Linked DNA regions of Coturnix japonica. The protein of the gene in region 1 purifies or fractionates together with the protein of each later gene. This does not show direct contact. Links are inferred from orthologs where the notes say so. Each region holds a gene or a part of one and is shown on either strand. Other genes may lie near its edges.

The links.
Region 2: the proteins of IQCB1 (region 1) and EXOC1 purify together in Homo sapiens (affinity purification with mass spectrometry; 3 studies listed by BioGRID and IntAct, counting the BioPlex papers as one, with this or other methods). This does not show direct contact. The link is inferred for Coturnix japonica from reciprocal best matches to the Homo sapiens genes IQCB1 and EXOC1.
Region 3: the proteins of IQCB1 (region 1) and CEP290 purify together in Homo sapiens (co-immunoprecipitation; 8 studies listed by BioGRID and IntAct, counting the BioPlex papers as one, with this or other methods). This does not show direct contact. The link is inferred for Coturnix japonica from reciprocal best matches to the Homo sapiens genes IQCB1 and CEP290.

Annotation. Positions count from the first base shown.
Region 1 is NC_029522.1:20,672,112-20,675,768, reverse strand, and holds part of IQCB1 (IQ calmodulin-binding motif-containing protein 1), read right to left. Parts: intron 2,730-3,657; coding exon 2,620-2,729; intron 1-2,619. UniProt on the Homo sapiens protein: Involved in ciliogenesis. The function in an early step in cilia formation depends on its association with CEP290/NPHP6.
Region 2 is NC_029519.1:58,587,605-58,590,816, forward strand, and holds part of EXOC1 (exocyst complex component 1), read right to left. Parts: coding exon 3,175-3,212; intron 2,008-3,174; coding exon 1,824-2,007; intron 207-1,823; coding exon 7-206; intron 1-6.
Region 3 is NC_029516.1:38,944,872-38,948,528, reverse strand, and holds part of CEP290 (centrosomal protein of 290 kDa), read left to right. Parts: intron 1-761; coding exon 762-967; intron 968-2,779; coding exon 2,780-2,931; intron 2,932-3,650; coding exon 3,651-3,657. UniProt on the Homo sapiens protein: Involved in early and late steps in cilia formation. Its association with CCP110 is required for inhibition of primary cilia formation by CCP110.

The DNA.
Region 1 (3,657 bases):
ATGCAGACTCTAAGTGTGCCCACACATCCACCTACAGAGACAAATCACGATATATACAATAACAACAGAATGGGCTCAAGTTTTTCAGCCCACACATTTGTGTAAATGAGAGCTCCAAACTTTTGCATTTTTAATCCAAGAAGGCACATACAGAACTTCTAAGCTGAATGATGTCACAGGGTGAAGCAGGACTTTTGATGACATTTCCCTAATAAAACTATCAATACTAGAAACTTTTATGAGCTCCACTATGTGGAAAACAACAAAAATGTTTTATGAGCATCTCAGATATGCATCTGTGAATCTGACAATAGTGTTAGGCAACTATGTAAATGTTTACTTCCCAAGTAGTCTGTAAAACACACATTCTTCTTCCTTCTCCATTTCTCCCTATAATAAACCACATTTGTTTGTACAAGACCACGCTAACAAAAGTACAACACACACAAAGATCCAAGCTTTCTTCATAGCATGGATTAACCACCTCCTGATAGCCCACATGTACATCTGCATTCTCACACACTCACGTGATAAATGATTAATGCAAATTATTGCCGCTTTAACAGTTCTACAGTTAGTTACATAAAAGTGAACTAACTTTATGGAAAGACTGCAAGCTTTAATATCACCGACGAGACATTTGTGAAACCACAGAGTTTCAGAAGTCTGTAACTTGTAGAGTTTAAGAACTTCCATTGCAGCTGCAGGTGAGCCACATTTGGAGTTTCAGCCTCAACAGTACAGAACCACATTTGTTCTAAAATAAATCCAAGAGTATAACCAAACCCTGACTATTAAAAAGCCAAAAGGCCACTTAAAAACTTCTCTAAAATAACGCTCACAATATTCCAAAGATTATTTTGATTTTTTGGCAAAACTGTAAGTGCAGTTTTAACCCAGAAAGAAAAAAACCCACTGCTGGAGCTGCATGGTCACTGTATCGTACTCAGTACACTGGGACTGACTGGACCATGATCATATGACTAAAAATATTAATACATTTCTATTCTTCTCAGTGTTAAACAAGCACATTTAAAACTCAGCTTGAGTGATTCAAGAACTGCTTATTTAAGATGCATGTGCTAATGCTTGTAATACTGAGAACATGACACAAGAAAGTAAAGCAGCTGGCTGATTGCCTGCAGCCTGGCCACCCTCTCCTTTCTGCTTTATCCTGCTCCACCTGATCCTATCAGAACTTCAGGACGTATTTACTTTATGGTGGAATATTTGAAGAGTTAACTGTGAAGCAGTTAACTGTTCTGCCACCAGTACATCATCCTCTAATGCTGTTTAGTGCAATCCAATGCTACAGTCCCACACTTCCAGTTTTCCATATGCTATACATTTTTACACAGAGGCATCACAGAACTAAGGGCTTTTTTTTCATGGAGAAGAATTTTGGCAGCTGGGAAAGGGACAGTTGGAGCTTTTGGCACCAGAAATGGCAATTTGGTACTGCTGGAAAAGCACATTGTTTGGATGTTTTTGCTAAAAGAATCTGCAATGAAACAGCTCATATTGGCATTACATTACTTCTGTGTTTGAGAAAATACAGCTGACAGGAAAAAGGCATCTTTCAGATGAAGGATCTCTGGGTTATCCCAAGAACATTCCCTGGGACACAGGAACAAACTCTTAGGAAAGCTACACATTTCCAAGCACAGGAAGCAAATAGGAACAGCCATGTAAGGTTTATCACAGACAAATTATGTGTGACCAGCTTGATGGTCTTCTGTGATGACTGGCTCTGTGGATGAGGAGAGAGCACCGGGTGTCATTTACTTGAACTTTAGCAGGGCTGTCATCAGTCTCCCATGCACTGCAGGGCAGGGCTGGCACTCAAAGGAAACTCCACAGACACAGAAAATGGGTCAGTACAAACCACATTAAATTCAAATGGGACGTCCTGCACTTGGGACTGAATAACCTCATGAATCATACAGGTTGGGCCCTGATTACCTGGACAGCAGCTCCACTGAAAAGAACCTGGGGATCGTGGTGGATTACAAACTGAACACAAGCCAGCAGTGTGTCCTTGCAGTAACAAAGCCTAGCTGCATAGTATGCTGCACTTGCAAAAGCAAAGACAACGGGTCAAAGAAAATTATTTACACAGCTTTACTCAAGCACTCTGGAGGGCACACCTGTAATACTGCCCAGACTTTACTGGGTCACCCCAGACAGACATTGACTAACTGAAGAGATAATGGTACAGAGCATATGGTATAAGTTCAGGGAATCTAATCTCTGTCTTTTGCTATCATCTGTAGAGAAAATCCAGCCACATTCTTCCAGGTGCACTGAAAAAGGACAAGAGTTAGTGGAAAAGAGCTGCAACAAGGAACATTCCTGCTAAATCTAATGGAAGAATTCTAATGGAATGTGAATCACGCAGCCCCAAGACAGGGACTGAGTGAGATGGAGGGTCTGCATCCTTGGAGATCTCCATCACTGCATACAGCCCTGAGCAGCCAGATCCTGTTGGCCCTGCATTTAGCAGTGATTTATATGACCTAATTTTTCTTGAAATTCTGTGACGTGAGAAACACCAAACTAAACACAAACAAGTCCTATCACACCATTCTCTAGCACTTTTAACAAAGCAGTGCTGTTTACCTGAAGCTCCTCTGCAAAGCTGCCACTGCTTGAGGAAGTTTTTTCAGTCTTTTTCTTGTCTGAAATCCCTTCCACATTGCCTGAATTACACAAGCTGCCTGGTGCTGTCTCTGAAATGCATAAAACAGTTAGCAGAATATTTTCTTTGCATATAAAAACAGGTTATTACTGTTTGCATATTTGGAACCATCTCAGCATTTGGTCAAACCTTAGCAGTTCTCCAATGCTCTGAAATGCACAGTGTTTATAACAGCGAGGGGGCAGTTAAGGTCTTAGACAATTATTATCACAAAACTTGTATTTACTCCAAAGGCAGCTAACCTGCATCAATGCTCTCTTTAGCAAACAAATGAATCCACAGCACAGATACATATTAACCACATAACTGGTATAGGAAATTTTAAAATTGAAAGTATCTGAAGCACTTGGTATTACAAGTGCCAATTCAGTCAAAATACCTTCACTAGAGAGAATGGAAAGGCAAGTCTGGAGAAAAACTGTAGGAAATATTTACATTTCCACCATGATCAGAAAATGCAACAAATATGATAAATATATATATATATATATTCTCAAATGGTGCTTTTTCTAAGGCAAGCAAAACACACAAAACACCCTGCTGTGTTTAAGGTGAAAGCAGGACTCTGTAAACATGACTCTGATTTCCTTTGAACTAATCACACTGAAAACCCTGCATATAAAACTTTGGTAAGCTCATAAAACACACATTTGCTCTTTTTATTGGAAACACAGTACAGACAATGTTCTCACTGAACATTTTCGCTACACGACTCTTAATTCTATCTGAATGTTCCCAAGAATCCAGAAATCTACATTTATAACACTGATGCAAAACGAGCAGATGCAATTATTTTTGTTTTACAGCTAACAGCTATTTTTGTTTTACAGCTATCAGCTAAAAAGATCTTTTTCCTTATGACTGTATAAAGTTTCACACCACATTGTGACAACACAGTCAGTTTCTCAATCCATTCCCAATTTCCATTCCTCAGTACCTGGAATTCCTTGAGATCTCAA
Region 2 (3,212 bases), on another chromosome or scaffold:
ACTTACATTTAATTTTTCAAGAGGCTGTCCAAGTGAGTAGACTACATAAGACTGAAGATGTTCGGTGTATTTCAGTTTGGCTTCTTTTTTCTCAGCTTCAAGACAAGAAATTTTCAACCGAGAAAGTGTTGCAAAAATATGATGGAAATTCTCCATCATCACCACATCTCTGGGTGTTTTCTGGCTTTCATTAGCTACTTTTTCAACTAAAAGATAAGGGAAACAAAATATTTAGAACTCCTAAAGGGCAACCAAATTCGGAAGAAAACATAACTGATGAAAAGAAAAAAGTAAGGGATTCTATCACAGTGATAACCATGTGTATGAACGATAATCATAACAGTCACTAAATAAATATTCGAGGGCTTTCAAAAGAAGCATCAGATACATGCAGGCTTTTACTTTTAACCCTCCCAAGTAAAACAGAGCAGGTGTAAGAAATTCTACTTATTGACCCCCTACTGCATCTGCATGCATGCAGGCCAAGGAGACGATGGTTAGAATGCAGATTAATGCAGAATTAATCTAAGAATGCAATTAAACCTCTATGCCCGCTCATCCATCATTTCATTGAGACTATGAAGTAGGAAAACCACCATGAAAAATATTTATGAAGCATACTCCTGGGCACCAAGGTACGAGTCAATATCATCAATTCATTTCAGTTAGATCACTGAAGCACCAATCCCCATCATAATTACTTGTTGAAGCTCATGCTGTACTAGTCAATTATTTTTTTTTCTAAGTTCAACTGAAATCCTTTTAAATTTCTTTTAAAACGTACTTTCCTGAATTCTTCCTACAGTAGTACTTCTATCAATGTATGGTTTGACTGTTAGCGTCTGCCTGGTTTCATCACTTGAACAATCAATTCTAAAGTACTGAATAGTTGGACGCAATCAATGTTGTTAAAATTCACTGCCCTACTAACTTCTACTGACTCTTTATGAACTGTAGTCCACTATATTGTGAAATGATGCATCTTCACAACCTCCTAATGTTCAGAACTCCTGTGCTAGTTTCCTCAAACAAGCTTTATTGCCAGAACTCTTCCCTCTTCCTCAACCTCCCTCAGGGAAAAAGGCAAGTCTCAGTGATTGGGAAGTACTACAGGTCGAGCTGTTTCAAAGGATGTACATAAATCAACATGGAGAGGCCTCTCTGTTGTTTAAAAGGTTATGACCATTTTTCTGGCATTTCACTTCTTTTACTTCACCTTCATCTATTTCTTTTTTGTTAATAACAAGGAGAACAAGACTGTTCTGGTTTTCCAGATCAGAGCTGGAAAAACAGGAAGGGATGGGAGAGGCATTCTACTATGTCAGGAGGACCTCATCTGCTATGATATGGTCAAATTCATAGCCAGAACACAAGGCTACATTAGAACTGAATGAGACAACACAGCACTGAGAAGCTGTACAGCATTAGAATGAAATGACAGGGATTCCATCCTGTCTCATCTCCTCATTTAAGCCAGACTGGTGCAGAAAAGCCAGAAAACCACTTGAGACTTTGGCCTGTAGTGTTGCAGTTCTCTCCCCCCTCCTTCCTGTATCCTTAACCACTTCCCCTGTCATAACCGAAAGTTACTTTGTATATATGTGTTAAGGGAAATATCTACAGTTTGCTTTTAAATATTTCATTTTATCAAAATGTTTCAACTTGCTTCTATAAATTAGGTTGTTTTTTTTTTAACATCAGTGCAATGTTGGTCATGTGGTTTACAATATAGAGTCTTAAAAAAAAAAACATTATCAATTAAACAGAGCAGAATACACCTACACAGGAGGAATTAATAAGTATTACGAAATGGGAAGACCTACCGCTGATAAAAACAGCTCTAATAAGTTTTATATATGCTTTGTCCAGATCTCCTCGTCGTTCTGCATTTTTGAAAATTGATTCAGCAAGGGCTGCAAACTCTTCAAATTCAGCAACAAATGGAAGGATCCCGACTTTACTTTTCTTTGAGATTTTTACTTCATCCATCTGCTTCATTTGATTGCTCTTGAATTGAAACACAGAAGTTATTCTCTACAATACAGTTCCAGACCATAACTAGTAATAACCATAACTAGTAATAGAAAAAAAGTAAACATACTGAAAAAGTAACATGCGTCTAATCAGGGAGATCATTTTATCTTTTAATTATTGTATCTTCACAAATTTGTTAACAGTAAAAACTGTGAAGAAAGAAAGGCAAGTAAAATCTTCAAGACTGAAGTTTATAATCTTCAAGTTTTTATCTTCCTCTGCTTGCTTATTTAGCATTAAGAAAAAAAAATACCACAAACAATGAATCCACAACTTATTCACCAGAAGCAATTAACAAATTATATTTAAGACTTCCATTCCACAACTTCACTTTTCAGCATCAACCCAGCAAATGATTCATTTGGCCACAGAAAGCTTCTTTAATCTCCTGTTGAAATTTTGTTTTTAAGAATAAGCTAAAAAATAATAACTTCCAAGTATCTCAAGCATTCCTCTGACAATGAATGATCAGTGTTACCAAAGTGGCCTGGAGTCAAATGACACTTACAACAATAATAGCAAAAGCAACAGTCACACAAACAAGTATTTGTACTAAGGCTGCCTTATTAAGAATAGCAAACTTTCTCCGTGGCAGAAACTGGCAAATATGTTGGTAGTAGGAGAGAAGTCTTAATGTTTCACAAAAATCTGCGTTTTGTTTAATGATAAAAATACCTGAATGCAAGGAATAAATGTCTATTCAGTATATTACAAAGATTCTGATTTTCCCTTAAGTCTGTGAGGTTGTTTTGGATTGTTTTGGAATGTAAAAAAAAAAAAAAAAAAAAAGTCAGAGCACTATTGATTTTACTTGATTGACTTCAGTAAAAGTTTAAAACAATTACAAAAGTCAGCCAGCTCACATAACTGAAATGTTGAGGACAAGAGGTTGTACGTCCTATGGATAGCTCATCCTTCAGGTAAACTGGGATGGAAAGGGAAGAGGGAAACAACTGCCAATTACTATTTTTTAATAAATATTTTTTAATAAAAAAAGTTTGTCCAATGTAACTGTAGTGCAGACACTCATTTTTGCTTCAAATTAAAACAAAAAGTCTTAAAATCCTAAAATCAAATTGAATAGGTGCAGGCTTCCTAAAGTAATAGAGTTATCTTAAACAGAAAAACTAAAGAACTTACAATGCATTTATCAAAGTTCCTTTTGACAGTCACCAAAA
Region 3 (3,657 bases), on another chromosome or scaffold:
GCTCCATTTACTGATTTTATTTTTTATTTTTTCCTAACTCAATTGTTAGTCAAAGTACTTCGTTGGTGGTCAGAAAAATGATCTCTTTTTCCTGGATTCACATTCCAAAACAAAATGTTTTGTTGTTTTTTTTTGTTTTTTTTTTTCCAGCATCTGGGGCTTCCTTGTTTACATTTTACTTTCATTCTCATTATTCAAGAAGAACTCATCCAGTTATTTTTCTTTTAAAGATTTTTAATTAAATTTCCTGAAGATTTGCCAGCTGAAAGAAGACAGAGTAAACACTGAAAGTAGTTATTAGTTTCTCTAACCATAGTTGCAGATACACCCATTTAAGATCGATAATAACATTTTATCCTGATCCGATTTTTTTAAGATGTAATAGGGTAATACTTTTTAGATAGCTGTGCCTTCAGCTTAAGAAGCAATATAGAATCATAGAATGGATTGGGTTGGAAGGGACCTCAAGGATCATCAAATTCCATCCCTCTTACCACAGTCAGGGTTGCCAACTGCTAGATAATTACAAGACCAGCCTGCCCAGGGCCCCACCCAACCTGGCCTTAAACACTCCCAGGGATGGGCAGTGTGTTCCAGCACCTTATCACTCACTCAGTAAATCATTTCCCCAGCATCTAATCTGATGTACATTTAGGTAAAGTTTCTATAACAAGGATAAAGAAAGACTCCTTCAAGGTGTAAATAATTTTCATTGTTGAATCAGCCTACGTATTCTGTAATGTAAATATTTTTGAATATAGGAGATGACAATACCATGGACAAGGCAACAAAAGCAATTACCAACAGTGACATTTCATCAATTTCTAAGAAAATTGCCATGTTGGAAATTAAGGAACTAAATGAAAGACAGAGAGCAGAACATTCCCAAAGTATGTATGAACATTTAAGGAATACTTTAAAGCAAGTAGAAGAACGCAATTTTGAACTGGAAACAAAGTTTGCTGAGGTAAGATTTAACACATGATTTAACACATTAGAAACATCCTTGAGTTTTTTGTAAAGTATTTGTCAGTTATGTGTCATTATGACTGACAAATGTATGATGCAAAATATAGATGCCTTTTATGAGTTGTAAATTTGTATGACTGGGCATGTGTTTAAAAAAAATATGACTGTTTATTTCAAATAACATTTGTTCTCCATAAAGCACATGATGAGTAACTTGACATAGTTTTCTAGTTCATCAGCAGATTCCTAGGAAGAAGCCTGTTATTTCAATTGTTAGACCTTTGTAAGAGAGTGTCATGATTCTTTTGCAGGCTGTGTTCTTATGTCACATACCAAGATTACAATTTTCTGTAATACAGGAATAGAAGGCATGAGCTGTTGAACTGATGATCTTTGTAATTATTCTTCGTATCAGTTTTAATCTTGGTGGATTTTTGTCCCCAGTATTTGTATTTGAAATTTGTTTTATAAATTCACTATTTAATAGGAGAGTTTATTCAGTTTTTTAAATTCTAGTTTTTCTGATATTTTTAGAGCCTCTTTTGACAGAATAATTTCTTCTATTTCATTAATAGCTCAGGCATTATTTTGGGTAATTAATGAAATTTGAGCAATCACTTTGAGAATAGGAAATCTTCACATTCTAAACTCATAAATCTATTTCAGTGTAAGTTTGTTTTCTTACCCTTTTCACAGTTCCCATAAGAACCTCTGAGTAGTTTGATATTTTTTCAGAGTACTGCCTCAAATATATGAAATCCAGACAATAAGATACACCTAACGGTTTTGTTTGTTTAGGAAATTAACTATTTTCTTAATTATAGAATCACCAAGGATGGAAGAGATCTCCATGATCACCTAGTCCAACTGTCCACCTACCACCAGTATTTTCCCACTAAACCATGTCCCTCGGTACAACATCTAAACATTTCTTGAACACTTCCAGGGATGGTGGTTCAACTACCTCCCTGGGCAGCCTGTTCCAGTGCTTGACCACTCTTTCAGAGAGAAATTTTTTGTAATATCCAACTTGAACCTCCCCTTGGTGCAACTTGAGGCCAATCCCTCTCGTCTTATTGCTAGTTATGCTGGAGAAGAAGCAGATCACCACCATGCCACAATTTCCTTTCAGGTAGTTGTAGAGAGTGATAAGGTCTCCGCTGAGCCTCCTCCTCTCCAGACAGAATAGTCCCAGTTCCATCAGCCTCTCTTTTTAAGACTTGTGCTTATTATTTTGTTAATGAGTTGTATCAAATTCATCTGTCATAACTTTATTTGGTAAATTAATTCCTAAGGCTCTGTATGTCTCATAATGCTTTTCATGTGTCCCATCTTTTCCTAATGCTCTTTGATGTGATGCACTGTTTACTCAATATGTAACAATCAGGTTGCTTGATAAAGGTGTTTTTAAAAAAGAACAAAACAAGTATGGTATTAGGAATCTGCGCCATATACTAAATATATAAGTAAAGCAGTTCATTTCTTAAAGAGTTTACAGTTTTACTATTTTTTTCTTTTTTTAGTTTAAAAGCAAGATCTTTGCTGGAATGATTTTATGAAAATTAACTAGCTAATAGGGTTTAATTTAGAAATCTGTTCCATGCTGATCTGTATATCTCTTCCTAAATGCATGCAGTGCTGTGAACAAAAATATGTTTAAGTGGGGAGAAAATAAGTACTTTTTAATTACGGCTGAACAGCGTTTTGTAATGACTTCAAAAGAAGTTACTTCGGGCACTTTGTCTTCTTTGCAGGTTTGGGATCAGTTGTGTGCTTACAATATCATTCTCTTTTCTGATCCTTTTTTAAGCTCACCAAAATCAATCTCGAGGCACAAAAAGTGGAACAGGAATTAAGAGATGAACTGTCAAAAAGTGTAAGTAAGGCAGTGAGCGATGCAGACAGACAACAAATCATGGACCTAGAGAAGCGTGAGATGGAGCTCAAGACTGAAGTATCAAAGTAAGTGATGACGTAACAAATTCATAATGAAGTAGGAATACTTGCATGTAACACTTCAAGTGTTTGATTTTTTTTGACATTTCTGTACGCTAAATTTAGAGTAGAAATTAAGTATTTAATTCAGTTTTTTGTTTCATTGTGATTTGAACAAGGAATTAAATGCTGGCCTGGTCAGATAATCATAAGCATGTCCTAAAATATTCATTTCTAGCCTTTTAAAAAAAAAAAAAATGAAAGTTTTCTTCTGTTTCTATACCACAACCACCCCTAACAAATAATGTAATCCTGTTATATTCCTAAATATAGCTATGGATGTGTGCAGTGATTTTGGTGCTGAAAATGGGGCATTAGACCTGGGGAAGCAGAGAATAGAACAGAGAATGAATTCTGTTGCACATTTATGTCTTGAGCTGGGAGAGAGATAGAGAAGGAGAGAGGTACTTACTTCTAGGAAAAAGCATGACTTTGTTTTCCTTGAGAAGATAAGTGGTAGAAAACTTACAAGAAAAATCCACCATAAAAGGTGAGAAGCAATAGAAAATACTTTTTCTAACAAGACTGCTGAGCAGTAGAGTGCTAAAAATGAAAAAAAAACAACAAATTCTTCAAATTTTTTTTATGAGGGGACAAAATAAGCATCTTCTCATGTTCTGTGTAGGAAAACCTAACAAGTTATTAGGTGGTTTGAAACAACACAATGCTCTTGCTTTTCCTGTAAGGTTGAGA